Danio rerio: one gene and its partners. The protein of the gene in region 2 interacts with the protein of the main gene of each other region in a pairwise test. Links are inferred from orthologs where the notes say so. Each region holds a gene or a part of one and is shown on either strand. Other genes may lie near its edges.

The links. The genes of interacting proteins can lie anywhere in the genome.
Region 1: the proteins of git1 (region 2) and pfdn1 interact in binary tests that used the Homo sapiens proteins (3 or more experiments, as listed by UniProt). The link is inferred for Danio rerio from reciprocal best matches to the Homo sapiens genes GIT1 and PFDN1.
Region 3: the proteins of git1 (region 2) and hmox2a interact in a two-hybrid assay, tested with the Homo sapiens proteins (2 studies listed by BioGRID and IntAct). The link is inferred for Danio rerio from reciprocal best matches to the Homo sapiens genes GIT1 and HMOX2.
Region 4: the proteins of git1 (region 2) and lamtor5 interact in a two-hybrid assay, tested with the Homo sapiens proteins (2 studies listed by BioGRID and IntAct). The link is inferred for Danio rerio from reciprocal best matches to the Homo sapiens genes GIT1 and LAMTOR5.

Annotation. Positions count from the first base shown.
Region 1 is NC_133196.1:32,810,152-32,818,631, forward strand, and holds the start of pfdn1 (prefoldin subunit 1), read right to left. Parts: upstream 4,493-8,480; 5' UTR 4,480-4,492; coding exon 4,447-4,479; intron 1,546-4,446; coding exon 1,379-1,545; intron 1,300-1,378; coding exon 1,215-1,299; intron 1-1,214. Other genes in the region: hbegfb (heparin-binding EGF-like growth factor b), read right to left, coding at 7,229-7,304, 7,402-7,557. UniProt on the Homo sapiens protein: Binds specifically to cytosolic chaperonin (c-CPN) and transfers target proteins to it. Binds to nascent polypeptide chain and promotes folding in an environment in which there are many competing pathways for nonnative proteins.
Region 2 is NC_133190.1:30,938,157-30,944,836, reverse strand, and holds the end of git1 (ARF GTPase-activating protein GIT1), read left to right. Parts: intron 1-957; coding exon 958-1,122; intron 1,123-1,214; coding exon 1,215-1,278; intron 1,279-4,016; coding exon 4,017-4,232; 3' UTR 4,233-6,521; downstream 6,522-6,680. UniProt on the Homo sapiens protein: GTPase-activating protein for ADP ribosylation factor family members, including ARF1.
Region 3 is NC_133197.1:27,576,030-27,584,551, reverse strand, and holds the start of hmox2a (heme oxygenase 2a), read left to right. Parts: upstream 1-4,030; 5' UTR 4,031-4,095; exon of another isoform or gene 4,096-5,202; intron 5,203-5,279; exon of another isoform or gene 5,280-5,436; 5' UTR 5,437-5,471; coding exon 5,472-5,542; exon of another isoform or gene 5,543-5,547; intron 5,548-7,917; coding exon 7,918-8,035; intron 8,036-8,138; coding exon 8,139-8,522.
Region 4 is NC_133183.1:26,632,395-26,640,862, reverse strand, and holds lamtor5 (ragulator complex protein LAMTOR5), read right to left. Parts: upstream 4,493-8,468; 5' UTR 4,367-4,492; coding exon 4,332-4,366; intron 4,242-4,331; coding exon 4,180-4,241; intron 3,554-4,179; coding exon 3,436-3,553; intron 994-3,435; coding exon 933-993; 3' UTR 413-932; downstream 1-412. UniProt on the Homo sapiens protein: As part of the Ragulator complex it is involved in amino acid sensing and activation of mTORC1, a signaling complex promoting cell growth in response to growth factors, energy levels, and amino acids.

The DNA.
Region 1 (8,480 bases), on a different chromosome or scaffold from region 2:
TTAATCTCTTTTTCTTGATGAACACAAAAGACTAGAAAAACCAGAAGCTTCTATATACTTATATATAAATATATATATATATATATATATATATATATATATATATATATATATATATATATATATATATATATATATATATATATATATATATACTCACCGGCCACTTTAATAGGTACACTTATCCAACTGTTCGTTATCACAAGTTTTTCTAATCAGCCTGCAGCAGTTCAAACCAAGCATCAAAATGGGGACGAAAGGTGATTTAAATTACTTGAACGTGGCATGGTTGTTGGTGCCAGACGTGCTGGTCTGAGTATTTCAGAAACCTAATCTACTGAGCATTCCACAAACAACCATCTCTATTGTTTATAAAGAATGGTCCGAAAAAGAGAAAATATCCAGTGAGCGGCAGTTCTGTGGGCGCAAATGTAGATTAGAAAAATGTTGCCTGGTCTGATGAGTCTCGATTTTCACTGCAACACTTGGATGGTAGGGTCAGAATTTGGCATCAAAAACATAAAAGCATGGATCTATTTTTCCTTGTATCAACAGTTCAGGCTGGTGGTGGTGGTGTAATGTTGTGGGGGATATTTTCTCCGCACACTTTGGGCCCATTAGTACCAATTGAGCATCATGTCAACACCACAGCCTGACCGAGTATTGTTGCTGACCATGTCCATCCCTTTATGACTTCAGTGTACCAATCTTCTGATGGCTACTGCCAGCAGGATAACATGCCATGTCAAATGAATCATCTCAGACTGGTTTCTTGAACATGACAATGAGTTCACTTTACTCAGATGGCCACAGTCCCCCAATCTTAATCCAACAGAGCACCTTTGGTGGCACGGGAAATTGGTATCATGGATAAGCAACCGACAAATCTGCAGCAACTGTATAATGCTATCATGTCAGTATATAAACCAAAACCTCTGAGAAATTTTCCAGTATCTTGTTGAATCTATGCCCTGGAGGATTAAAGCAGTTCTGAAGGCAAAAGGGGTTCCAACCCGATAGTTGTAAGGTGTACCTTATAAAGTGGCCGCCGAGTGTATATCTTATTTAATTATGACTTTCATAGATTTTTTTTAACAGCAAGTAAAAAATGTTAAAATAAGGTGACCTATCCTTTGTATTTTGATAAGCAGTTCTTTGTCGGACAAGTAGATTTAATATAAGCAACTATATTTGTTTTTTTGCTCATAACCTACCTCAAGCTCTTTTATCTTGTCATCTGCCGTCTTCTGCTTTTCCAAAAGCTGATTAGAGATCTCACCTTTTGACTGCAAAATAAACCTGAATAAAGGAAGGAAGAGAAGGTCAAAACAACAGAGAGTAAAGGGTCCAGATTTGAAACCTCCAGAATTATACATACATCCGTCCTGCTCCCTCAAACATCCGAGTGCTTTCAGGAAGTGATGTAATCTCTCCATGCGTGAGATTTGCGTGCTTCTTTACACGACTCAGCTGTTCGATCTGCAGGTCTGCCAGCTTCACCTTCTGCTGAGTGTCAACCATTTTCGCCTGCAGCTCTGCAAAAGCCTGCAAAGATGCCGAGATTGAGGTTTTGATTAGAAGGAAATCCGCTGTGATATGATGCAAATACAAAGTTGAAGTCAGAATTATTAGCCCCCCTTTGATTTTTTTTCTTTTTTAAATATTTTCCAAATGATGTTTAACAGAGCAAGAACATTTTTACAGCATCTTTGATAATATTTTTATCTTCTGGAAAAAGTGTTATTTGTTTTATTTCGGCTAGAATAAAAGCAGTTTTTAAATTTTAAATGTCACTTTAAGCTGTATAGTAGTGTCTTAAAAAATATCTAGTAATATATTATTTACTGTCATCATGGCAGAGATAAAATAAATCCGTTATTAGAAATGATCTATTAAAACTTTTATGCTTAATTGGGGGAAAAAATTAACAGGGGGGCTAATAATTCTGACTTCAACTGTAAATTTACAATAAAATTTTATTCATTTTTTTCCCTGAATTTGCATAAAATAGCAAAAAACGTGCATACATGTTTATATTCTGTTTTAGAAAACACGTCGCTTCTGATGAGTTAAAAAAAAATCTAAATTTGGCGGAAATGACATTGATTTTTGTTTTCTGAATGAAATACAGGGTTCTGCAGGTTTCACAAAATTAAATTTAGGACATTTTAAGACATTTTTAAGACCATTATGAATGCAATTTTAGACTTATACAGAACTTAATGCTGAGGATTTTTTATATCCAAGTTAGAAAAGATTTTCACTTGCTAGATAAAAAAAATATTAACATTGAATACAGGAAATATTATGTTTCAATATTTTTTTTATAAATTTTCAAAAATATTCATCTACAAACCCAATAATCAGGGCCAGACAGAATCTGCTGACATTTTTGCTATTTCTGCTGAGAAATTTGTAAAATAAAAAAATAAAAAAATAAAACAGCTGATTTTTGTGGAATGATTATGGTTATAGCGTCATAACTAAAAACTTAATACATGAAATAAAAGCAACAGCTTTTTAGCTCTTATGTTTACAATGCAAATCCAACTAGATCCACGTATTTAGTAAACAAAGCAAGTTTCTCATAATACATCCACTAAAAGACAGAAAATATTACTCTAAAAACTGAATTGTAAATACATCATATGAACATTTTAATATTACTATTGTTATATCACAATAATATTATTGAAAACAATTTAAAACTGAATAAATATAATTTTATACACATTTATACAAGTAAATAAATAGACTCAATGATGGGCTAAAAGTCTGCGGAAATTTGCATGCGCAGATTCCGTGTGGGCCTTCCTATAACCCTTACCAAGAATAGAACAAAGCATAGCTGTCAATTACTTCCGTCTACAATAATAATATTTTAATAATACAAAATGTAGGTCAGGTCAGCAACCACAGCGGTATATAAAGTGGAGTACTTTTTAACAAATGTTACTGTGAGAAAAGTAATTAAATGCTATTTTTAAATAAAACGTTAAAAGTTTTATTGAGATTGGGATTGTTGGTGATTGTTGAGTGTTAATGGCCAGATTGGGTAGTTATTCATGAACATAGGAAAATTAAGACCTGCTAAAAAATATTTAAGACCTACAACACAATATTTTAGTAAATCTAATACTTTTTAAGGCCTAAAATTTTGTTTTTGAGATTTAAGACATTTTAAGACTTTTTAAGACCCCACAGATATCCTGGAAATAACACAGATTTTGTTTCTATTTATAAAAGCTTTATATTTATAATTTGTATGTGTCATCAAATGAGTAATTGTGATTATTGCATTGCAAAATGAATGCAAATAAAATATCTTATGTATATATTAATATATTAATACACATTCATTTAAAAAAAAATGTTTATTTATAATTATCTATCATTAATGTTTGCATATAATACTAATTATACATAAATATAACTGTATTTTTATAATAATAAATCATCTATAGATATAATAAAAAATATTATTTTGTATGTTACTAATTACGATTAAACATTTGACAGCTCTTTTTGACAGCACAATAATAACATTTTTTTCACATTCATATGTAATACAGCAAATTCAGCATTTCCTATAGCTGTAACTGTTATATTTAAACAATTTATATGTTGTTATATGTTGTTGCAGTTGGTAGGGCATTCGTTATGTAAAACATGTGCTGGATAAGTTGGCGATTCGTTCCACTGTGGCGACCCCTGATGAATAAAGAGAAGCCGAAGTAAAATGAATGAATGAATGAATTAGTTGTGACAAATTTGGTGCCACTAATAAATCTTTCCCAGGTTTTCAACATAAATTCTAGAACAAAAATAAGACACTTAGAAAGTCACAACATATAATCTATAAATATATATAAAATATACATAAATATAGACATCACTAAATATTTTGTAAATAAAAAATATTATTTTGCATGTGACTAATTATGATTAAACATTTGACAGCTCTTTTTGACAGCACAATAATAAATTTTTTATCAAATTCATATGTAATACAGCAAATCCAGCATTTCCTATAGCTGTAACAGTTATATTTCAACAAATTATGTCATATATATATATATATATATATATATATATATATATATATATATATATATGGATAAGCAAAAACTAAAGAATAAGCCATATTGAAAGCTTCCTATAGCATGTAATGATGTGTTGATAGATTGATATGTGTTTGGATATTCATTTCTAAAGGATTTACAGTGGTAAACTATAAATATGACGTTGCACATCTTTATAACAAACAATACACATTAAAAGGATTCGCATGCACCTACGTTACACACTGACAGATCGCGTTGCTTAAACAGTTTTATACCTTACTTCTGCTCCACAAAAGCTTAATAACATTTATTCAGTATTTTATCATAACAAAGTAACAACTCTGTTTGGTTTTTAGATATAAAACCAAAAACCACCCTTTACCTTCTTCAACTCGAGGTCTACGGGAGCCGCCATGATGCTAAGTGGTACGAGTCCCTGCGCATGCGCGAAACAAAGAGCTTGTTGCAAAACCTAGTGAGCGGCCTACATAGACAACATTTTCAATGTCAGACAGGCAGGCAATCCACAATAAATGTTCACTAAAAAGGCAGCTCGGTAGTTTTGCAGACACGGTAAGTTTGTGGACTACTTTCAATCTCAAAACAGTGCAACAGAAATGACAGTATATGATAAAGGTTTCAGCGTTATACCAATGTTAGCGTCAAAATGTTTAGAAGCTGACTCTTAATTTAAGCGGACTTTAAGCGGACTTATTTTTAGTGTCTATTATTGTGTGCTACATGTAAAATGTGTCACCCCAGTGGCAACATTGCTCAAGATTTTTTTATTACTATTAACGTGTTGTTTTGTATTGTAAAGTCGTGTATGTTCTGCATTTTAACTCCTGTTAACACTCTGTTTGGTTTCCTCAGGAGACAAATGATGGTAAACCAACTTGAGACTTAAATCTCCAAGCTAAAGACAAGTATATCAGATGTAGTAATGACAACACAATATTTTTATAACTTCACACAGTGAGTGTTTAAACTTTACAACATACATCTGTATATCTGCAGATTTATATCCGACACACTAAAATTTTATAAATAAAAAATAGTAAATCTAAATAATAAAAATAGTTTTATTATTGGTTGTGGGACGACACGGTGGCTTAGTGGATAGCACTGTCTTCTCACAGCAAGAAGATCTCTGGTTCGAGTCCCAGCTGGGTCAGTGGGCAATTCTTTGGAGTTTGCATGTTCTCTCCATGTTGGCGTGGGTTTCCTCAGGGTGCGCCGGTTTCCCCCACAGTTCAAAGACATGCAGTGAATTGAATAAACTAAATTGGTACTGTATGTGTGTGAATTTAATGAGTGTTTATGTATCTTGTCCAGTACTGGGTTGCAGTTATTAGGGCATTTGTTGTGTAAAACATGTGCTGGTTAGTGATTCATTCCACTGGGGCAAACCCCTGATAAATAAAGAGACTAAGCCGAAGTAAAATGAATGAATTAATTAGTTGTGACAAATACGGTGCCACTTATGAATCTTTCCCAGGTTTTCAACAAAAATAAGAGACACTTAGAAAGTCACAATAGTTTATTAAACAGCAGAAATTTGTTACCATTGCTTGAAATTAGTACATGAAATCATGTAATTTATACTAAACGCATAAAACAAACACACTAATAAACGTATTCCATTTTATTTCACTTAATTTAAGCTACACTTTCTCAGTAATACATATAAAAAAGGCTTAAGCCCTGCGTCTGACATTCCTGCAGAGTACATTTATTTGATTGCATTCGCAAATGTTTAATTCACAGTTTAGCTAAAATATTATTCAAACCGTACTGTCCTCCGAATGCGATTGTAAAGTTTGCGATGCAACTTCAGTCCTATTAGAACATTAATTGATTGTATTCATCGATAATAAATATCTATACAATAAAAACACATTTACAAAACTCGCAGTGCATTCAGTACACACAATTGTTACGTATCAAAATAAATAACAAATACATTATAAATAAATAATTACAAGTGCTTTGTGGCGTTTTTGACAGTACTACAGATTCAGACTGATGGGAGAAACCAGAAACTCAGCTTTTCAACATAAATAAATAAGCAACGAACAAAAAAGCAACTTTGATTGAAGTCGCGATACATTCATCATTTTCAGTCCTGTCTGCATGATCTCCATGACAGTACTGTACATGTACTGCACACGGGGCAGTGTTTAAAGCATCCTTCATGCCAGTTTAGACAGACACCAATACTGCAGGACATCAGGGGCGCACAACAAATACGAAGAGGTGCAAAGATTGTGGAGAAATAATGATTACCACTAGGAATAATGCAGAAATCATGCCCTTGATGAGATGTATAGTGCTGTCTATCCATGGGTCACATGACCTTTTGGCTTTCTTTATCCTGAAAAACATTTATTAAAAATGTATATATAAATGTTTGGAATTTTCATTTATTTTAATAAAAGCAAGATATTATACTATAAAAGTAAACAAAAACTACTTAGACATGTTTAAAACTAATTAAATCTCTCTATATAAACACACACAACACATAGACACGCATACATACTTATATTTGAGAGTTCAGATGCAAAAACCTCTAAATCACACCTCAAATGTCTTTCAAAAACAAGCATTTTTCTCCACTTCCTATATTCATTTTCTGTTTTTCCACTTTACATGCAATGGAAATCATCAACATACATGTGAAATTACTGAACCCACACACAAGAGTCCGTTTAGAAGTAAATTTTAGACGGCATTTAGAAGTTTTAGAATTTTAACTCCTTTATTTGTAAAAAATAACTAGAAATAACTAGAGTTAATATTATAGTTAATAAATAGGAAATATAGTTAATAAGATGTAAAACATTACTGTAAAAAATAATAAATTATGTGGACTTTTTAATATAAAAACATTTGAAATACAGTAAAAAATGTATGTTAATAGCTAAATTACTACACAATTATTACATAGTTACATACATAATTCTATCTATCTATCTATCTATCTATCTAAACAAGCAAATACAGTTGAAGTCAGAATTATTAGCCCCCCTGTTATATATATATATATATATATATATATATATATATATAAATAAATTTTAAAGTAAATTTGTGTGTCCGTATGTAAACAAATTATTAACATACAAATCTGGGAGTTCAAAGAGAACTATTTACCTTCGTTATCACTGTTTTACTGACGTTGCCTCGAGTTTGACCTTTTCTTCGCTCTCTACATCAGCGTCATCTTTTTTGTGGTACCTGTCAGAAAAGCATGCAGAATATCTAAGGAATTCTGTAAATCAATAACGGTATAATGATTAAGAATGCTGAACAATGCTGATTGACGGTAACTTACCTTAATGCCAGCAGAATAGCGATGACTGCGAGACACATGAGGGACAGAACCACTGCTATGACCGCCAGCGCTGTGGTTCGGCTGTAACGCTGCTCCTCCTTCCCCACCGGCAGGGTGAATACGTGACATCTCTCTCCAGAGTATCCTCCATGACATCTGAATGAGAAGCCATTCAGAGGGTCAAAATCACAACCATATCATATCAAGAGACAGAGGTAATATTCCCAGATTACATTCTTTTCCTATCCGATTATTAAAATAGTGATGAAGGAAATACTGTTACAAAATCATGGTGTTCGTCATTCTTTTGAATTGCTGCATCACAAACTATAATTTAGAAATAAATATTGCAATTATGACTTTCAAAAGTATTTTATCACACTGAGAGTGTAACAATGCCATTTGTTTGCTTTTGGTATCTGATAGAGTGTTTGGACCTAGAGACTGTGATGCATGACACTATACTTAGTGGGATAGTCCACCGCAAACTTAAAAATAACTCATCATTTACTCTTCCATAATGTGTTTTTAAACCATTAACACAAAGGAAGATATTTTGAAGAATGCTGGTACCCAATGATTTCTATAGCAGAAAAAAAATTCTATGGAAGTCAAATAATATCTTCTTTTGTGCGAAAAAAGAAACTCAGACTGGTTTTAAAGAAGTGAAAGATATCAGTAATTGAATGATTTTTTATTTTTGGGTGAATTATCCCTTTAAGAAGCAGATTAAAGCAAGAAATCTGTCATCTTTTATCCTTTTTTATCTATACATTTAATATATTTACTTACAATTATACACCATTTTAGACAAAATTGTCTACTAAATGAACATACTTAAAACATGTAATCCTTATTTACTAGCCCTCAATTGGTTCCAAACCTTTATGTGTTTTTTTTTTAATTAGCTTGAACACAAATGCAAGACATTTCAAAGAATGTTGTAAACCATTGACATTTATCATAAGGGAAAAAAAGCCAATGGTTACCAGTTTTCAGTATTATTTAAAATATCTCCTTTCGTGTTCAACAGAAGACAGAAACTCAATCTGGTTTTAAACAAGAAGGATATCAGCAAA
Region 2 (6,680 bases):
ACAGGGCAGGAGTAATATATTTGTATATATATGTAATTTATCTACAAATAAGAAACCGTAATATACACTGTATAGTAATATGGGTCATACTTTACTAACATGAACTAAGTATGAACAATTCTTGTAGAGCATTTATTAACCAGTTTAACATCTGCTAATGCATTAACATACAAATCCATGCATGTTAATGTTAGTTAATGCATCGTGAGTTAACAAACAAAAAATGAACAACTGTATTTTCATGAACTAACGTCAGTTAACAGGAACAAACAATGAACAATACATTCATTACAGTATTTGTTCATGTTAGTAAACATTAACTAACCTTATTTTTAAGTGTTATCATAATATGTTCGTTACTATTACTAGTAATTAGTTACTAGTTACTAATCTATTACTAGTTATAAAATAGCTAACATTATTAATTGTATTATGATTTTTTGGGAAGTATAACAACATTACCAAATTAATATTTTGTGTGTTATTATTATTATTTTATTGTAATTTGTTTTTACGTCAAGCAAAAATTGGTATTTATCATTTGTATAAATGTTTTTGTAATGCACATCTATTTGTGCATATTTATATTCGATAAATATTTGTAATATAATTTTTTGTACAATGGTGAAATAATATTATAATAAATATGTATTTTTTAAAAACAGTTACAATATGTAATATTAATAATAAAAAGAATGAATATTTAATGAAGCACAATAGTGACATAATTGTTTTTGTTTCTGATATTGTCTGAAAATATTTTACAGTAATATATCAATATTTTTCTTAGTTATTTATTGATTTTCATAAATACCTTAACTACTACTAACTTACTAATAGTAATAACTTAACTAGCTACTTAAAACTTAACTTGCTAAAGATTAAAGTCATTCCTTTAGCCTGTAAATCTGAGTGTTTTTATAGGTGAGTGATGATGTGTGTTATCTCCACTGTTAGTGTGGGCCGCAGCAGTGAGGAGGACAGCAGGGGGGATGTAGACGACACCGAGGGCGATCCTGACCCCACACTGCCCTGCACAGAGGACGTCATCCTTAAAACTGAACAGGTCACCAAAAACATCCAGGAGCTCCTGAGAGCTGCTCAAGAGTTCAAGCACGACAGGTCTGATGGACTCTTACCTGTCAAGCTGATTGCAGAGTTGCTTTTCTACAGTAAAAAAATAAACTTATTCTAACATTTGTCTTTGGTTGCAGTTTTGTGCCATGCTCAGAGAAAATCCACTTAGCTGTGACAGAAATGGCCTCGCTGTTTCCCAAGGTAAATAACTGCGGATTTTTCAAAATGTCCTAGGAAATTTAAGCATACTACTATGTTTTTGTTAGGCTACGTACACTATCCATACCCTAGCTCTTATCAAGAATCTGCTAAAAGATTAAGAGATATTTCATTGCAACTTTATCTAAGGTGAATACAAAAACAAGGTAAAAAGTAAAAGGCTACGGTCTATTTTTCCTTTTGTCTACAATAATTTCATGTTTATTGTTTTGTTTTGGGGGGTTTTGCAAAGTGAGTAAAAGTTAAAAAAATATCTGCTCGCTCACAATTAAATTGGAAAACAAAAACGAGACCAAAATCATTCACTATATGAAACCTATTATAATGCAATGACCTTTAATATACAATAACTTTGAACTCTTTAGAGTCTTTTCAGCAAAGAGTAACCTTTGTGCAAACGGTAGAGTCCAGCTACAATCCTGCTCCAACACACATGCCTCATAGTTTTCAAATAAGCCGGAATGACTTGATTATCTGGATCAGGTTTATTTAGTGTTGAACTTTGTTGGGTTGTGGCCCTTTAGGATCGGAGTTTGACACCCCTGCTGTAGGGCTTTTGTTTTATTTATTGAGAATAATATAGTTAAATGATATCACACAAGCAAGAGTGCCTGTGTTCTGAAGTATCAGTTTGAATGTGATCACAACTGTGGTATCGATTTTATATAACAGTCCAACAAAGATGAAGTTAGATAATGTTTTTTTCCTTTGCCAGTGAAAATATTTGTGTGGTGTTTCGTTTATGTAGGAATGTTTTTAAACGAATCACTTGAGTGAATGATCAAATCACAAACAGTTGCTTGCTTCATTTCTAAATGAATCACCCATTTAGAACAAATGGAGTTAAAGGTTCAGGACACCCTGGAGAACATTTTTTTTATATTAACAGATTTGTGTGTGTTGAGCATCAGTTAAGACAATGTTAGCACCTGTCAGCTTTAATTGTGGGGAAAACTGAATAATTTTGAGCTTTTGTAAGCTACAATCGCTCAAAATCGGCGACGTAGCGCAGTACTGCAAGTGCAATGATGACGGGTCGGTTTCTCATTATTATTCATAGCGGAGTTTTCTTATCCTATGAGAAGAGCCGGCTGCTTAATTATTCATGAGACCTGCCAGAGTCAAGCCCGCGCTGTGAGACACGTCACGGACCCACGGCACGGGCACACAGTATTTAGCCGTTCATGAAGGCTCATATGCGTTTGTTTCCATGATCCACGGGGTTTGTTGCATGTTTTCCCCCGCGATCTTGTCAGGGCCGATCATACAGCAAAGCTGTGTGTGTGCTGCAAGCATTTTTGTAGGGAGAGCAGGACGCTGTCTTTAATCAGGAATTCGTTCACATTCAGACACATCACTGTGCTGCTGTGTTTGCCTAAATCCTCCAGATTACCAGCAGGGCTAACGGTTAAAATAGACAGGTCAGGAGACCTGCTGCACTGAGTCTGCTGGATACGGGGATTGAGGGAGAAGTCCTCATTTATAGGGTTTACATGAACACACTTATCTTTATAATGATATAAATTGTGGTTATGTGTATATGAAATTACGAATAACATGTAGCAGGGCATTAAATCACTGTTCATTTCTTTGCGTTTTAACTTTGTAAACTATAAACTCATGCGTCTCCTCACGGTTTGTCTTAATTTGTAAGCTTGCTTCGTTCGCTCATGTTTTCCCCTGCTGGCCACGCCCACTCCTGCCCGATGCTCGCGGAGCTTTACGCCCATTAAACATGCATCTTTTGAAAAAATTCTGAAGTAGACTTTAACCGAAAGTGTGGGGTGTCATGGCCCTTTAATGATTCAGTGAATCACATAGCAGGACTCTGACTTGCAGCCATCTACTGGTGGTTTAAAGGTGCGTGTCCACCAAAGTCTGCAGAAGTTCTTTTTTCCCCAAATCTTGAGTGTTTTTTTTCCCTGCTGTTGTGAATGGAAACTTTGTATTTTTTAACATCAACAGCGCAATGAGGCTTTGAGGTTTGTGTGTTCTGTGGGTGCTGTGTTCACCAGGTGGCACATGTGAATAAATCACATTATTTGCGTGTAAATATTTTGAGCTTACTTGCTTCATTTGCGTGTCAAATTCACTTCACAATAGATGCGTATTTGTATCATGAGCAGGGCTTCTGTCTGCCCGGTGACTAGCATTGTTGCTAAATGGCTAACATGGATTTTATTGGGAAAGTAGCTGTGATTTAGGAAGGCTGAAGAGCAGCGTAATTTCGTTCAGCATCATGTCTTGTGCACTAGATCCTGATTTCAGAGGAGCACCCAATTCTCCCAGTTCATCAACTCCTCCAGAAACTATACCTGGATAATGGAAGCTTTCAGCTGTGCTTGGAACTTAGCCGAGCCCAGTTTGATGAACTGTTGTTCGGTGTCTGCAAGAGGATTTCCCCTCGGGACACCAACAACACTCACTACTACATAATCACGCCCCCATAAATAAAGGCTCTTGATTAACATGGCGCGAATGTCCGCTAATGTTCAGATTTTTTAAGTCAAGCGATTCATGCCTCAAACGAGCAAATCGCTCAACTCGCTATAGGACTACAGGACTATAGGACTTTTTGCTCAATAATGCACCTAGTTTAATCTAGGTTATTCTCTTATTGTTTTGCTAATGTACACACAAAAAAATGAGTTATACTTTTGGCTTAAAAATGTCAAACCAGATGCACTGAATCTCTATGTCCTCCTCTTTGTTTCCCTCAGAGACCAGCGCTGGATGCAGTACGTTCTTCCTTGAAGCTCCTGGCAGCAAGTGCGTCACGTTTGCAGGTGGAGTGTCGTAAAGCGGCGCCTTCGGACTCGTCGGCCAGTACAGTGGACTACCAGCTTCTTACCCAGCAGGTCATCCAGTGCGCATACGACATTGCCAAAGCCGCCAAGCAGCTGGTCACCATCACCACCCGCGAAAAAAAACAGTGACCCGTCCGGCACACTGGGCTCCATCGGGCAGGGGAAAAGACTGAGAAATGGGAGCAGACACTGAGTAAAAACTGACGGCTGGGAATCGTTAGTCAGGTGATGAAAAAAAAGTGCTATGAGGGAGCGAAGACGGAGTGATGAATCCAGCTCTGGGCATCTGGATGCAGAGATGTGGGAGAAGCCGAATGGAGCGGCCTGCTTTTCCTTGCACTCCTTTTCTTATATCTATATGGTTGAACACTACACAACAGAGGATTGATGGTCAGTGAGCGCATGGGCGGCTGCTGTTTGGTTCTTTTTGTGAAACACACAGGCACTCCTAACCTACAGAGAGCCAGAAATGTTCATTTGTTTTCAGTTTTCCATCTCCCTTTCGATTGATTTTTGTGTTTTTAAAGTGCCGCTCCATTGACTCGTTTCTCTTGGGACAAATGTATTGACTTGCGAAAACAACACACTGGAGTTATTTTAATGATTATGACTTCTGTTTCATATTATTGTTACTGTTATTGATGTCTTCTTTTGATTTTTTATTTTATTTTAATTTTTTTTGTCACACAGAGCTTTGCGAACATTAACGGGGTGAACAGTAACCTGTGAAAACTAACCGGAACACTCCCGTCCTCCAGTGATAGAAGCACTGGTTCACTCACACAGTGTTTTACTTCACTATTTTGTTTTAATCAAGGTGTGTTGTACACTAGCCAAAGGAGCAGAGGAGAGTGAAGACACTACAGTTGCGGATTCCTCTGTTTGTTTGTTGTTTGTCGTGTTTGAGCACAAAGACAGAAGTTGGGGTACAAAAACGGGGGCTCGTCCGGGATACGTCCCGGCTTTTCTCATCTCATTGCATCTCAATCCCTACGTTAGTGGGTTTGTTATCAGAACAATGCAAATGTGTTAGCACAATCATCACATTAGCTCATTAGTTTAGGACAAAACCACCCATTTCGGACACGATGTCTTTTACTTATTAGATTATCTGCACATGATTGACTTAATCGAATGGCCTTCATCAGTTTAGCAGAGACTCTTCTGGACCAGGCTTTTTTTTGTGTGTGTGGTTGGTTGTCCGTTTGAAAATATTTGATTTTGATTTCCTGCCGTTGTTTATTTTTCTTGTTTTTAATTTAGCACACATCTAATGTTTTTTTAATGTAAGAAGACCCTAATTATGTTTCATAAGCTACAATCATGTGAATGTTGATGGTTGAAGATGACCACTATCAATGTTCTCAACACTAACATTTCAGAGACAGTGACAGGGAAAAATACGGGATGTCCATCTGCTGCATCAGGACCAGTGAAGTCACATTCTGTGGTGGTAGATGGGGCAATCGGGGTTTCTTTTTTGTTGAATTGGGGCAAATGAGCACCTCGCTTTATGGATGTTCATGGGAGAGGAGTTAAACTGGAGCTTTCAGGATAAACGCACATACATGAACGTTTATCCGCCTGAGGCTTGATGCCACGTTTGTGTGCGAGCGTGATCAAATCAAGTATTTGTTGTACAGTTACTTTGCATTTTTAGATGTCATGCTATGAGCCTTAAACCTCCTTTTTTCCATATTGGTTTTACCCACCAGCCTTTTAAGTTAAGCCATTTTTTCATTCTTGCCTTTTGTTTCTTGAACTTGGGGAATGGGATATTCTTAGCGTCCCTAAAAACGTGTCAAAAAGATTGTCTGATCATTGCCTTTGCACATCTGCTAGACTGACTTTAATCCGCAATCAAGTGACTGGCGTCTCTCTCTTTCACACTAGAAGCACATGGTGAGTAAAATCAGTGTATGCATTGTTTATTTTTATTTTTTCTAGATTTTTAATTTCCCACTAAACATGTCACTGTTAGATGGTTTACTGTAATGATGCCTTGGGAGAAAGAGTTTGGGCCATTATTAAATAAGCACTAAATTCAGAGAGGATTATGGGAAAGGGAGTAATTGCACACACTAGGTCCAACTCTGATTCCTTTTGAAGTAGTTTGTAGGCATTTTCCCAGCAGTCCTGCTGCAGATGCATTCATTGTTCACGTAACGCACCAGTGGAATTATTTTTAAACCGACTAATTGACACTATTCTGTGATCAGTCATACTAGCTGCACCTACCTGTTAGGACTGTTCTTTATCACTCAGTTGTTCTTACTTGAGAGATTAGCTGATGGGTGAAATTCGTTTAGCAGAGGCTACCTGTAAAATATAGAAATTAAATAAAAGACTAAGCAAAACCATTTAAATCGTAATAAAGACTCATAAGCTGTACATTTGTAATAAACAAAACCGAAAGTTCATTGTGTCCTGTGTTTTTTTTTTTTATCAATGTGTTTTACACATTTGTGCAAATGCCAACATTAATCAAGGTTAAATCAACTTAAAAAAATTGTTTTGGCTCAAATCTTGGATTGAAAAATATATTGACAGTCTGACACAACTATGATAAATATGATG
Region 3 (8,522 bases), on a different chromosome or scaffold from region 2:
GTGGAAAAATATTTAATATTGCGAATAACTTCCATGAGCTTGAAGACTGCATCCATACATCTCTGCAATGACTAATTAATGACTCTAAAATAAATTGTTATTGTAATAAAGTCATCTGGGATGGCAAAGAAACCATTCTTGCAGGACTATCGGAGTTCCTCAAGATTCTTTGGGTTCATTTTCAATGCCTCCTCCTTCATCTTACCCCAGACATGCTCAATAATGTTCATATCTGGTAACTGGGCTGGCCAATCCTGGAGCACCTTGAGCTTCTTTGCTTTCAGGAACTTTGATGTGGAGCCTAAAGTTTGAGAAGGAGCGCTATCCTGCTGAAGAATAGCCTTCTTCTGTGGTTTATAATGTAATGGGCTGCACAAATGTCTTGATACCTTAGGCTGTTGATGTTGCCATCCATTCTGCAGATCTCTTGCATACCCCCATACTGAAAGTAACCCCAAACCATGATTTTTACTTTGCCAAACTCAACAAATTTCTGTGAGAACCTTGGGTCCATGTGGGTATCCAATAGGCCCTGCAGTATTTGTGATGATTGGGATGAAGTTCAACAGATGATTCATCTGAAAAATCTACTTTCTGCCACTTTTCTAAATGATCAACTAGAAGTCAAGTTATTATTTGTTGCCCTTACTACTGGGATCGATGACAAGACTTTGGTCAGGTAGTGTAGATCCTACTAAAATTTTAAACAAACTAAAACCTGCACATTATGTTTTCACAAAGGTCACCTCAGGCCTGTTTTCCCGAAAGCAAATACTCCACAGATTTGTCACACCCTTGTTGATTCTTTTACTTAAACTGTTTGTTGGAGAAAACAAGGGGAAATCCTAACAGACAGGAAGGTTCCCCTTTTATAAAACAGGACTCAAAAGTACATTGCCAAAAATATTCAGGCTACAAAACAATGCGAGGGCAAAATATCTGGATGACAAATTTGAGCCTGGACGACTCACCATCGACTAACAATTGATCAGAATGATGTCACCAGCACTATTATCGACTTAAACTGTACTCCTGTGATACGTGTACAGGAATTCAGCCTGCGGTGATAATCACTTCGGAGTCCGAAATATGCACATAAACAAAGGAACTCGCATTGAATATGAAATAGCACAGCAGTGAAGTCAAGGCCAAAGCAATATTGTTGATCTTAGGAAGCTCGTCCCTAATAAACACAGAGGTGGGCGGTCATCATGCACAGCACAAAATAAAGAAGTCAAATTGGGCTTCAGCAGCACTTGAAGACATAAAAGAGCTAAGAAAGTGCCAAAGGTCTTTTCAATACTCGGACGTTTTGAGGAGGGAAAACGTCTTTGTTCCTTTGTTTAAATAGAGCGGCTTGTCTGGTGGTCCGATCTGAGGTGTATAAATAATAATGGTATTGTATCCTTATGTGCAGGTCACACATGCTCAATCAAACACATGGCAGGCTGCTCCCATATTCTCAAGAACACATTGACATTTCTCTATAAATAGGGGGAAGTACTTTAGACTGCTATACGCTTGAGGAAAACACGACTTCCCTAATAATGCAGTAGGCCTATATGCTGATAAAAGACTAAATGTGTCTGCCATATGAGCTTCCTACTAATGATAAGCATGAGTAGAAATCTTTTCCGTGTTATAAAAATATACGGGCCTCGCGCGAGAACATTAAGATCATATATGATATCAGTCTGTGCTGAGAGGTTTTAACAGCGAATTATGTTTTGTTAAGCATTTGTGGTCAAAAGTATAATTTCTGCCTCAAAACCAGGGTACGAGTTAAAGAGGGGTTTGGTTTGGAGGGGATTGACCCCCTTAATTAACACTTGATCTCTCCCTCATCAAGACAAGATGTATGGGGGGGGGGGGGGGGGTGTCAGCCCTTTAATACTGAAAAATAGTTTTCCCTTATCTGTATCTTAAATAATAGTATTAATATTTAAAATAATAGATATACGAATATACATTTGATCATCCCTATAATGGTCCATCCCACTATAGGGTTTCTTGCATAATGGCGCCAATAGGGTATATGCAGTGCAAGTGTTTCTTCCCATACTGATCAACTTCCGGTAACCTATCAATGTGACTTTTTTCCATTTTATACGGTTTCTTTTACAGCACTGATAACAGAATTTGGAATTCATTTAGTTGTTCAAGCATAAAACGAGATGAAAAGCCGTTTACAAGCACGTGCCTTTCAGGTTCAGCAAACTATCGCAGAAGGTCCATTAAATATTCTGGGGTAAAATAAATGTTCATATTTTAAAGACAAGAAAAATGTAATTTAATGCAGTGCTTCTTGTACATCCTGATACCCACTTTATATCAGATATCACTTAGGCAGTGGAAATAGCTGATTTTTGAAGAAAACAGACCTTAAACGCACCGATTTTGTCACGGCAAGAAGTTCACCGAAAGCACCTGACCCAGGTTACTGACAAATTAAAAGTAGTACTTCCGCATACTTCTGCGTAGTCTGTGCAATCATTCAGCAGTCTGAATCTGACAGATCTAAGCGGTCACGGGACACTTTTCTTGTGTTTGTATTTACATATAACCTAAAAGTAAAGCATAGCTTGAATATTTTGAAATAATAAGAGCTCAATGTATGTCAGGATACAGTAAATATCTCTCAAAACACTGAAAACTTCAATACCTCTTATATTGATTAATTTGATATCATTTAAAGAAATCGATCAATTTGATTCACTGAAAACTTACCAAAAAGTCAACCCCCTGATCGCGTAATTTGCACCCTGCTCACAACTTATAAAAAACAAATGTTTTCAGAAGAAAATGTTAACGTTAGTGCTGATACTTAGAGTAAAACTCACCGTCATGGCCTGAAATCTTCAATATGCTAAAGCCACTGATCTGTACAGCACTTTTTTGGCGCTTTCTATCCTCTCCCAAATCAAAATAAGCTATCGGTTTAGTCTAATGTTCCAGTTTTTATATAAAGTTCGGTGTGCTGGCGGTATTTAATTGTAGGCTGAATGAAAATCAATAAACAGGTGTTTTTAAAGGCCTTTTTTATCGTCCGCTACGTGATTCGAGATTATCTAGATTATACTGACCTCTACTGGTGATAGTGGAAATCGCTCCTGTCTTCAGACCATTTGAAATCTAAATAAAACGTCTAAATAAAACGTCAACGACAATCCAGTTTTTATATAAAGTTAGTTGTGTCGTCCATATTTATATGTAGGCTTAGTGATGAAAAACTGTACAAAAGCAGAGGTCCTTCTTGTTCTTATTGTCCGCTACGTGTTTCGAGATTATATAGATTTGACTGACCTCTACTGGTGATAGTGTAAATTGCATCTGTCTATAAACCAACTGAAATCTTAAAAAAGTTGATGTCAGCATATATTATGCATTTATATTATGTAATATCATATATAATATCATTGATCGTTTTTAAATAGTTTTTATTATTAGCCTATAATTAATTGATGTTATCAAATTTTCATCCATCTAAAAAGATTTTATTCATATAGGTAACTTTTTTATATACTTCAAATAAAGTAATTTAGAGCATTTTTTCAGATATTTACAACTATTCAGAGTATGTATATCTGCTTTATCTGCAAAAAGATTATAAATTAAACAATACCTCGCTATTTTTCACACATTAATTTTGTGTAGCGACGTTTAAATCATCAATGGAGAAGCAGTGAAGAATTTTATTTATCATTTATTATTATTATTATTATTATTATTATTATTATTATTCATTAATCTTTATTTATTAACAGTTGCCTAAATGCCAAGCATATAAATTACATTCAGAAAGATTAACATATACATAATTAAATATATATTAAATTAATTAATTCAACTAGGGAAAAAAATAATAAAACAAACAAACAAACCCAGGAATACACAATATAAACATAATATAAATGATACAAAAAAATCACAAAATTTTTATATAGATTTAATGTTTTAGCGCTGACTACGTTTGAGACAGTCACAGTACGCGTCATTCTACTTCCTGTTTAGAGTCTGGTGGTCTGGTTGGGTAAACATTATACAACGTGATGTGAACTGCAACGGGTTGCTTTACCTTAAACACTGCGAAATCAGGTAATATAAACGATTCTGCTTTCCATCGGTAAAAAAACAACCTGACAGGCATTGCCTGCATCTATATCACTGTATTAAATGTCATTACGGTTTTTAAATGTACGACTTTATTACACAAGTCAATGTCACGGGAGTGTTTGTTGTTTATGTGCGCTCATGACACAATGGATGTGAGTTACGCAATGAAAACAAGAGCTGTCGTTATTGAATTGTTGCAGTTGTTGTGTGGGGACATTCGAAAACACTTTACTTCAGCTTAACGTTACTTAATGTAGCTTAACAGCAAGCGGGGGAAACCATATTTCTATAAATTTTCACACACAAACAAGTGACAAACACTTATTTTAATGTCAATAAAATGAGCTCAATTTTATTAAGTGAAACTTATCACGTTATACGTTTCTCCCCATTATAAGTCCATTATAATAAAAGGAAAACGCTTAACATGGCTTAATGTACCTCAGTGGGGCACACCACAACACTACACTAACTACTATCAAAGGATCAAGCTCTGATTCTGTAGATGAAATGAACAATGTCACATTAATAATTTTATCCCCCATTTAAGTCCATTATAAGAGCTTAATGTGGTTTAACGTAACATCCAGAGATGATCAACTTTCTATAAAAATACACTCATAAACACTTACTGCTGTGAAAAGAACAAACTTTTATTTTAGTGTATCAAGTGAACATTATCACTTTAAGCATTCTCCAAGGTCCATTGTAAGAAAAAAGCTCGAGGTGGCTTAACGTACTTTTAACCCAGACCAGACAAGCATAAATATCTGTCAAACTTTACTTGTGATTACCTTAACTATTAATGAAAGAGCGGGCCTTAATTCCATAGATAAAGTGAACAATATCACAATAAGCGTTTTCTCCCCCATTCAAGTCCATAATAAGGAAAGGCGTAACTTTACAACAACTGAGGGAAACTAAATGTTAAAAAGGCTGTTCATCAAATTTTATTTATGATAGATTAACACTTGCTGTCAAAAGAATGTGCTTTTGCATGTCATTGACATCCCCACAACAGCCTAGGGAAAAACGCTTGACACAATATTGTTCACTTTAGCTGTGGAAACGGGGCTCGTTCTTTTGCTAGTAGTGTTAATCAGAGAAAACGCTTAACGTTATGTTTTTTACTTTATCTATGGAATTGATACTCCTCCTTTTTACAGTAGTTGGGGTTAATTACAAGTACAGTTTGACAGAAATTTGGGTTTCTCTGGTTGAAGTTTTGGTGCATTAAACCACGTTAAGCTTTTATTTCACGTTAAGTGTTTTAGAATGTCCTGTTGTGTGTGTTTTTTCTTATTTTCTTTATTTGTCAAGCAGAGAAGAGCCTGACAGAAATAACACAGACGCTGACGATGGCTGCAGATTCAGCAGTGTCCAATGGAGGAGAGAACATCCTCACTGACAGCGATGATGATATCCTGAAGTACTGTAATTACAGCTTTATTAGGAGAAACATTCACAGACCTAATAGAAACTAAACAGGCTTGCCAAGTTTACCAGTATCTGTTTTGAGCGTGCGTTTCTTATTGTGGTGAAGTTGGTTTTATATTTACACATTCAGACTTTCTCCTTAATAATTATAATGTAAGAAAAGTATTCTTTGCGATTTATACACAGGGAAATCATATTAGCCAATGACTATCAAAGTACAACATTGTTCACTGTCAAATATATAGTGCTAATGTTGTTTGAAGTCATAATTGCAAGTGATTTCAAATTGCATATTCAAAGTACCATGGTAAGCAATATAGGGAGCAGGTTACAAGTTGTCACTGAACAAATGTGCGCATATAAAACCGACTTTACCTTTACCAGTGCGTTTCTTAACATACTGAAAGTTAATGACAAAATGTCGTACATCAATTCTACATGTTACACAAGTAAAATTATGCAAACAAAACAACACACTAAGGATCCCACATTATCAGATATGCAAGTCTCTCCAAACACAGCAAACCTGCAAATAAATATCTACAGTGCTATTAGCTACTATTCAAAGAAAATATGAATATCTGATTGCGAATGCATCACTGTGCATTCACATCGAAGGCGGTGAGAGCATAAAAGTTCGCTCTGGCCGCAAAAGAACAAGAAGGCCGCACCGAACCACATCGAACAGTTGCTCATTACCATAAAGTTGACTTAATTTCAACTCTTCTCGACGCCCACATCAGTGAAGACGCGCCGCTCCTCACTGCTTATTGCTGCCATGTTCCATTGAAAATTATTGACTTCAGTCTACTTTGATACTCTCACCGCTTTCGGTGTGAACGCACTTATGCCAAACCATTGAGAGGGAAACCATGTTGAAACCACATGACCTACCAAATATACTACTACTACTATTATTATTATTATTATTATTATTATTATTATTAAGCCCCTAATTAAAAGTTGCTTTCGGCTGCGTCTAATGCATTAATCATTGTTCACATATATGACCAACAGTTGGATCATTGGGAATGCCACATGAAACTTAAGGCCCAACCCCAATTCTACCCCTTAGCCCTCCCCCTTACCCCTACCTCTCGTTTTGTGCATTCCCATAAAGGGGTAGGGGTGCCCCAATTCTCTTTAGCTTGAAGGCGTAGGGCTAAGGTGAAGGGCTAAACACCCCTTTGAACAGAGATTTTTCAGGACCACACTCGAAACCAAGGGGTAAGAAAATTTCCCAGAATACACCAGCCACAACAGCGGGATAGCTGCACCCGGAAGTCAGGAGATCCACAAATTATTATTTTTTTTTTGTCATTATTAAGAATTTTTACAATAAACAAGCACATGTTTTGATATATTCATAACCGCGTTTGTGTTTTACCGTCATGCTTTAAAAAAAAAAAATTAAATAAAAACTAATCTCTAATCCCTAATAATAACTCCTGTATAGGAGTCTCAAATCATTCTGACACTTGATAGCTCTGGAATACCCTGTCAGAAACGTCTAGTGGATGTTAATGTTGTTTTTATTGTGTTTACATAGATGAATAAGGCCACTGTGTAAATGCACAGTACAGTTACGATCTTATTGCCACATTAGATCGTTATGATAACTTAATATATGCCTTCAGTGATTTCCAGAAAAAAAAAACGCAACTGGAACAGCAGTCGCAATCATCTGATCTCATATGAAGCAAGAGATTGCGATGAAATGTGCAGGTGTTGTAGTGGTGTGCCATTTCTTAGGGGTAAATTTTAAAGCCCTTCCCCTTCAAACTCTGTTTCAATGAGAAGGGAAAGGGGTACAAAAATAAAATTAGGATTGGGCCTAGGTGTAATTAGTTTTTTTATGCACATGCTAGGATATACATACAGTGCTCAATGCAAATTGTGTCATCAGAATAGTAATGTTTGACCAATATAAATAGCAACAATTCAAAGCATGTGCATAATTTGTGCAGTTTGCTTTGAGTCATGTTTGCACTACTTAGTAAACTAGATGTCACAGAAAAAAACAACATAGGAGACGGAACAAAAACCGCAACAGCAAACTACTGAAGACTGCAAAAAATAAAATGGCTGCCAAGTGCATGGTTTTGAGAGAATAAAAGATGGATGTACAACATCATTAGCATTACCACACAGGACATGGTCCATGCCACTATTGAAAATTGCTTATTTGTTAGGATTTGAACGTTCTTCAAAGCATTTGGGATAATGCAAATACATAATTCAGCAAAATATATAACACTGCTGTGTGGTTTACATATTGTGTTCTTAAGACTCATACTTCAGCTATTGTTTGCTCCTACTTTGATACCAGTAGTGGAGGTAATATCTTTATAAATCTTCTGTTTTTAGTCCTAATGACCTGTCAGAAGTTTTGGCAGCAGGAACCAAAGAATCTCATGACAAAGCTGAGAATTCACCATTTGTCAAAGACTTCCTAAGGGGCCGAATTAAACGGGAACTTTTTAAGGTGAGTCTGTTGGTACTTTTGATGAATTACTTTTTTTTTGTTCAAAACTCCACTATTTTCTGACCTTTATACTTTTGCTATTTTGTCATTTTGTCAACCCCAGCTTGGCACCACTGCCCTGTACTATGTTTATTCTGCCATTGAGGAGGAGATTGAGAAGGTTAAGGACCACGCAGTGTTTGCCCCTCTATATTTCCCCTCTGAGCTTCACCGGCAAGAGGCCTTGGCCAAAGACCTGGCGTATTTCTATGGTGAAGACTGGGAGAGCCAGATCTCCTGCTCTGCTGCCACACAGCCCTATGTAGACCGCATACATGAGGTGGGTCGCGATGACCCGGTTCTTTTGGTGGCACACGCATGGACCCGTTACATGGGTGACCTATCAGGAGGGCAGATTTTAAAGAAAGTGGCTCAGCGGGCCCTAAAACTGCCCCCTACCGGTGAGGGCTTGAACTTCTACCATTTTGAGGGCATCCACAACCCCACA
Region 4 (8,468 bases), on a different chromosome or scaffold from region 2:
AAATAATTGAGGGGGAAACAATTTCTTCTTTTGGCATTCATGCTGCGTACTTGGTGTAATTTTTGGAAAAATTAAGACTTGGTTGATTAACTATATTGACCCTAGAGTGAAAATGATGAACCTTTTACAGTCAAGATCTGAGCTAAGGTATTTTGCTGTTAACTGTTATCCAGAGTCATCACATGCATTCAGAAGAACACTTTATGACAGGTCTGAGTGACTGATAAAAAATTCAGGAACCCCGAGTTCCCTCAAATTTTCCTCATATGCTTTATTGCAGAACGAGTTATCCAAGGCAAACAAGTGACACACACAAAAATAATTGCCTGCATCTATTTGCACACAACAAACCAATGCAATCTAAAATATAATACAATATAAATATAATATAATTTGAATTTGTTATTCATTAAAAAAAATTGCTTTACTAGTTTACATTACACAGCTTTTATTATTGGTAGTTACTGACCAAGATGATGATGATAATTAATTTGAAGGGTTGATCTGTCTCGACATTTGATTTTTAATTGTTATTCATGTATATAAACTGTTACTCACCATAGATACTCTTAAAGGTGATTCAATTACAATTGCTGCCCCCTTTTGAACACACTGTGTTACTTCAACTAAAACTCTCTTAACTGTGCAACCACAGAGACTCAACCACGTGAATTTCCTTAATGCATTTATTCACTGTTTGAACAAAAAAGCAGTGAAGACATTTAAAGTGTGCTTTATGGTTGAAAGAAAGTAATAATATAGGAAAATAAATTAGATTAAACACTGACAACAAACATCTGACGATTTCTGATATGATGGAAGACAAGATTTCACACACCCATAGAGCTTCTATGTTTCGACAATTGACAGCAGAAGCTTATCAAACGCATACTAATGATCTTTAAAATTGAAAAAACTTAGACCAACAGATTTCACGATGCCATCTTATGCACAGCCAGTGTAATTGTTCCATGTCTTCTCACCAAGATGTTCCTGCAATGACAGAATGACATAGAATTCCCATTTAATACTTAAGATTAAAATTAGCTGCTGTTTGATTTGAGATTATCACCTGGTTAGCAAAACTACAATTAAAACACATCTTGAGATACCAAAAGCATTCACTACACAGTGAAGCCTGTCAGAATGCATTTAGATTGACTCAATATGCTGTTATGAAAGCCAAAAATATTGTTCTGTTTTTTTTTATTATAACAAACGAGTTGCTTGGGTAATAGCACACAAGTCACAGTGCCATTTACCTAAATGTCAGTGCATAGGCATGATCACAAATAGATATTGATTTTTGTGTACAAAGCTAAAATTAAGTTACATTTCAGACATAACATAATACTGCCTGCTTTTCTTGCCCTTTCACCAGCAAAAGTAGTTATATACAAAGCCAGAGCAAAACAGAGGGGTATTCCAGAAAGCAAGGCTAACTTACAATCACATATACCCAGAACTCTAAATAGATAAGGGGAGTGCGGGGCACAAAGTAACGTGGGGTAAAATGTAACAATTTTAAGGTTTTTGCTCAGGGTTAACCATGGCATGCTTCCAAAATTTTCACCACAGCGTCGGCAGACATCTTCCTGCCAATTATTGAAAAAGTTTGTTGAAAATTGGACGAGAAACACAGAAACCATTTTTCCAGCAGTTTGCAGTATTTTTTATTACAGCAAATTTGTTTTACTTAAAAAAACATCTGTGAAAGCATGTACGAAAAAATCTTATATTGCTGTGATTACCATCTTCTAGGCTAAAAGATGAAACCATTTTGAAAGATGTAAAAAGACAGTGACTGCTAGTCAGTTTTGAAGAAAACACGACACAGCAGGGTTAGTTGTAACAGGGTGTTACAATTAAGCCACACACTGTTGGACACCAATTAAACTAACTGAATATTTTTATTTTTTATTTTTGATAATGTAATGTTGAGAACTTTTTAAATAAACATGATTTTTTTATAGAAAATATATATTTTTTAATAGAAAAAATTAGTTTTATTGCTAATAATGCAAATAAACGCATTTTATAATAATGCAAAAAAAAAATCCAAATGTGTTCATTAAGTGGATAAATAAGTAAATAAACATGCTGTGCTATGTATAACACAAAATAAATTGAGCCAAGTACTGAGGAAATATAGCTACTATTTAAAGTAAACAGAAATTAAATTAACTGTGTGGAATCTGCCTTTGTAAGCATGCGTTACAACTTACCCTCTGTTTGTTACAACGTGCCCCACTGCTGGGGCAAATAGTAACATTTTTGCTCCTGGCACTTTTGGCAATACTGCACAGAAACTGTAGGAGACAGTTTGTGTGTTGTTGGTACAAAAAATGGTTTGTCTAAGCCCATTACTTTGTTCATTATTTGGCCAAAACCAAAAAGTGTTACTTTGTGCCCTGCTCTTCCCTATCCCAGGTCAGACGGTGCTTACTCCAGGTATATCAGTTTCTAAAAATCACAGCTGGTGGCAAGTTCAGTCAACTTAAGAATCTGCCAACCATAAACACACAAGACATTCTCAAAAGAATAGCAATTCCACAAGTCATGGGTGAGAAATTAATGCTAAAAAAAAAAAAAAAAAGAGCGCCTTTTATTTTTTCGTTGTTCTTGTTTAATGGCAAGTTACATTCTTTTAGCATATTGCCAACAAATTTGTGGCTGTGCAGACATTTTTAAAACCGTTTAGTTAAATGTTCAATCTTTATTAACTACTGTGTACAGGAATTATAATGTTAAAATCAATTGATTTACTTTGTTTAAACCCATCCGCATTAACTTTAAAAAAAGATGAATTACATCTATTAATTAGTAATACATATGCCATGCATTATATTGAAATGGTTCCATTGCTTTCATTACTTTTGATTGAATATCCATAATGATAGTGGCAAAAAATTAACCATTACTTAAAAACATTTACTTGATAATAGTGCTTTTTTTAAAATAATAAACCCCCAAAAACTCATAAGAAATCATATGCCTCTCTATAATTATATCCATACTACAAATATCAATGATTCAATGAATCACTCATTAAGACTTGCCGCCATCTATTGGTGGTTTTGAGTGATATTGATCCAAGACAGTTCTAAAGCAACCAAATGACCAGCACAAAATATTAATCCTTGATGAATTAAAATGAATGGAATACTTTCTGAGAAAGTCACACGCCAATTTGATAGTTTCAATACTTATTACACGTCACTATATATACACTTTAGTGACAACTGGTGTGTGTGGAAGAGGGAAGGTATAATGGGATGAATGACTTTCAAAGATTGTTGTTTAACTGACTTTCCCTCATTTAACTTTCTTAATTAATGTCATCGATTTCTGCAGATTGTTTTGTTGTCTCTCAAATCAAAAAATTCTCAAGATACATAGAAATAAGACAGATGCTGGTCAAGAAGCTTTCCTTACCCACAGTCAGACTCCAGGCACACTGTAGGACAGTCGGTGGCATCTTTGGTTAGAGAAGCAGCCTGCTTGGCCAGTACAGATACAACTCCTCCATGTTCATCAGATAGTGAGCCCCGGCCTGGAGATTAAAATATTTGTAATGTCATTGAGAATTACAGTATATTTTCAAGTTCTGGAAACCAAATGGAAAAGAGTCAACTGAGAATCTATATAAAGCACAATTCTATAACCCTATATTTTGTTGAAAAGTTTTAAATTGTATATTGTTTTGCACATGGTAATACACTGAAAAAGCAGGCTTAAAATGCTCAAGTTGAATTAATTTATCAGATTAATATTTTTAATACTACACATGCCATTATAGATTTTACTACTCAAACTATATCTATACATCATTTAATTTTACTTTACATTTTTTTTGCATAATTACATTTGAATAGGCTTGTATTTTCTCCCAGTTAACCATGTTTTTTTGTTTACCATTGTTTCAGTTAACTTTAAGTTGGTCAATAACACAGTTATAAAGTTGTCCACAGTAGACACCCGTTCCCTGTTTTGAGAAACAAATCAAACTAATAAAAATTCAAAACGTTTTACATACCTTCAACACATGTGTAAATATTAAAAGCAATATTAACCTCTTGTTGCAAGTGAAAACCCAGTACATGTAAACCAAGCAAATCATGGTCACCAGAGGAAAACTATACTAAGGGAAGTATTAAGGAAAATATAAAAATTACTTACACCCTAGATTATGTCCTTGAGCGTCTGTGCACAAAACCCCAACAATAGCTGGATTTTTCATCCTAGAGTGAGAAAGGAGATCAGTAAATGAAGACGCAAAACGAGTAACGTTACATGCGTAAGAAAAGAAAGTGGTTTCTTTTTAAACATACGTATCGTCAAGATGCTGCTCCAGTGCACCCTCCATAACAGCGTCCTAAATAAGGCTATTAAACTAATAAGAAACACGAAATGTTCAGAAACTGGCAGCGATGTTTGTTACTTGGATAACTTCCGGGATGTCAGCTGACAGTTTAACACGCGACTTAACACTACGGCGCCCTCTAAGGGACAACAAGCAAATAGGATCTAGCGCCATCTTACTCAAGTCAGGATGGTAGGTAAATGGTCCTCTTTTGTTTGCTGCTAAACCTCGACAAGTAGTCAGTCATACAATATAATTTTTTGGGTTAAACATTTTAATTAAACTAAAATGAACACACAAGACATTCTCAAAAGAATACCAATTATACCACAAGTCCCACAGGAGAAATAAATGCTAAGTAGAAGAGTGACTATTTCTGAACCAAAATGAAAAGCTTGAATTTATTAATATGCAGCTGTTGGAATAAATGAATGTTCCTGCAGCACTGCTATTGACTGATCACCTATAATTCAGAGTCTAGATCTTCTATATCCTCGTTTTTATGTTGAACAAATAATAAATTCTTTACAAACCATTCAATGCTCTAAAAAGCAAGTAGGCTACATGTGGTTAACATTTAGCTGGCATTGTCAATGAGAACTCCCAGAGGAACGTGTGAATCTTCGGTGTTGGTATCTCTCTAAATGACCTTGTCCCCTGACCAGACGCACAATAAAAGACCACCGTCAATTGTGTCTGAGCTCAAGCTCTTTATCAGACAGTCTTTTCCATTTTTAACTCAAGATATTGAAGCACTCTCTTTTATAGTTTGTGAGGTTGGTTTAAGAGCCGGGTTTGACATGAGACACATTTTTTCTCTGTCACATCCATTAACTATATGTTTGCTTAACTATATGCGAAGCATATTATAAAATATACTATTACACAAGTTGTGCAAAGTGCAAAGCATGAATCAGGTTAGCAAAGTCAATATACATGCAAATAAGCTGGCAGAATAATAGCTGCCTGTTTCTGCCTCTCTAGAGCCCATCAGAACAGTTTAATCTTTCCTGACTGGATGCAGCCTTATATTTGATGAATATCATTTTTATAGGGTTAATTTAATTCCTTAACTTCTGTCTATTGATGATCGATTTATTTTTATAAATATAGTTTCATTACAATATTATTATTTTTGCGTGTGGGTATATATATACATTTAAATATATATGGATTTTTAGACTACTGATTTTTGTGCAGTTTAAGTCTTTTAATAAGATATTTTGCTTAATTTATTTTACAGTTTTCCTTGGATTGCTTTCATGCAGCCGTCAACTGAAACTCCACATTTTTAAAACAGTTAAAACACAGGCCTAAACAGCGGCACTCATGGTCAAAATAACACATTTTGGTTGCAAAATGCACATGCCGTGTCAAAACATTTAAAATATGCAACAAAAGCTATTTTAACCTTCAAACAACACAACTTGCTAACAAGTATATGAGCTCTTTCAATTAACCATTACACAATGAACAACAAAATACAAAATACAGACCTCAGTGTGAATCAGTGCACCATTGCTTGCCATTGTAACCTATTGCCAATGCCATTTGTTGTCTTTTTATTTGGGCTGCCTTTTTGCAAAGAATTGGATCCAGAATAAGAAATGCCTTTATTAAATTTATGTTGAATTCATGACATTTTTTCAAACTGTGGCTTAAAACTGAAATACTGTTAAAAAAACAGACAAAAGTAATAAAATACTGTAAATATTAGAGAAAACATGTAAACCAATATACAGTCAAATCTATTGTGAGTAGGACATAGCCACTATTGACCTCCTCCATCCATGCAGGCACAGAACAACACAGACCTTCTACCATTTTTAATGTTTGCAGACTGATTGCTAAATGAAGATTTGTGTGAAGGTGTGTCAAACCGGTGCTTTCAGTGAATTCATACTGATCTTGGTAGTTTCTAATGGTTAGGAATAGATGGTTTCTGTTTGGTTACCATAGCTAAAACAATGGAGTTTGGAATGCTTGAATGACATCCGTGTTAACTTTTTTGAAAAATGGTGCGGAAAATGTGTCAACCCAATGAGAAAGGGTTTAAACATTTGCAAGACCTGTCTTCTGCACTTGCTGGGATAGTGATAATGATAATGAAAATGAAGTAGAACCTAGTTTCTTTAACCAGGTCAAAGCAAACAAGAAAAACTGTAATTGAAAATGTTTTTAAAAATACTGTATATACATATATTGGATCATTTTTTTCAAGCATCTACATGAGAACAAATATTATCTATAGAGCTGTAAAAAGGTTTTGTGTCTCTCTGACACACACAGTAACACATAGGCTCTTGATATTGGTGGAGACGTACATCCCTAGAGCCAATGTATTAAACAGCACAAATTCTGTTTCATGCTTTTAAAAACATTTAAACACCTAATAATACAAATAACAATAATAATAATTCTATGCTGCAAAAGTCAATTGACATGATTTTACTGTAATCTGGTTTGAGGAGGTATGAATGTACAGAAATTTAGAGAGGCATGTGACAAAATGTAACAATTTTATTCCTATTATCTGTATGAATTTAACTCTTTAAGCACATTTAGGTTACTAAGGCTTGACAGAGCATTATTTTATTTTGAAGGCTATTAAATTATTGGTGGGGACATTTCAGTAATTGGTGAGGCAATGTCCCCTCTGTCCATGCCAATTCTACGCTCTTGATAGTTGGACAGACCAGTATTATGCGCACAAATTGAACTTTTTCCTTTTAGTTCTGAAGATGTGTTTGAATAAATAAAGTATTGAATAAAATGATAATTATGATATAAAGGCTAATATATATATTATTCTTTTATTTGAAATTTATTGCATGTGGAGTCATTGTTTCAGTCAAACAACTCTATTATATCTACCAATAGTGGAGTTTACTGCAGTTTATACTATTTCTATACTTTATTTTTTATGTTAATTATGAAGTCAATTATTAAGTGAATATAAAGCCATATATCATCATTTCATTTTACATAAAAGACATGCTCTGATTGATTTCATTTCATTATTTTCATCTTTTGGCTCAGTTTTCGTACTGCATTTGTTATGAAGTTACGTTTAACAGCTTTCAAGCTCTTTTAGCCAACTTAGGTTCTTTGCTCATGGCAAGGCTTGATGATTTCTGCCCAGTCCTGTGCAGTTAGAGCCAAGCTGGTTTGCTGACAAGGCAAAAAGTTGCAATGTAATTATGTGGCCCAGGCGTCAGTGAGATCAATCACTTTCACTGCAGCCGAGTAATGCTCTGCTGACTAACCAATGGCATTTTCATGCTCCCGCTAAACGTAAATCAAATCCCAACAGCTAGGACTGACATTCACCAGTCTGCTATCCCTCACACCAATTGCCTTCAAGTTGGATATTTTATTTAGCTATAATTTCAAGTAAGCTCATTGATTCTGTATAGCTGTGTTTCATCACGTAGCTCACGTATCCCAGAGCTTTAATGGTCAGCAGTTCAAATGGGCCACATCCACGTTTATTTTTTTGTTTTCTGATCAGTGGTCAGAAATTATATAGTGATAAATTATTTTATTTGCCATTCATTATGAATTTGTTAGTGTGTTAATGTTATTTTTAAGCTAGTATGCTCCAAAACAAAATTAATATTTCCATTTCCATAAGTATATGCATTCAAAAATGAGTCTCTGGATTTATGCACATCCCTCGTACTTCAGCTTTACATCAGATTTCTAATCAAATGGTCTAGTTGCGACTGAAACTGGTTTCTTGTTTAAACATATTAATCTTGTGTCATTGCTGAAAAGTCTCAACCAAACAGTGTATGATTGTGGATTCAAATGATTTAGTCAGAGCAAGTCTCTAGTTTATGCGAATGATTTGAAAATGTACCTAAACTGTGGCAAAATCGAAAAGGAGTACTTAATACTTTTAATTGAGAGATATTTTCTAAAGATATCTGTACCTTTACTCAAGTACTTCACATATGTACTTGTCTTGCAGTGGTGGAAAGAGTACTAAAAAATCATCAAACTCAAGTAAAAGTACCATTACTTGCATAAAAATATAGTTCAAGTAGAGTAAAAGCATCTGTTGTAAATATTACTCAAAGTATGAGTGAAAAGCCCTTTCAAA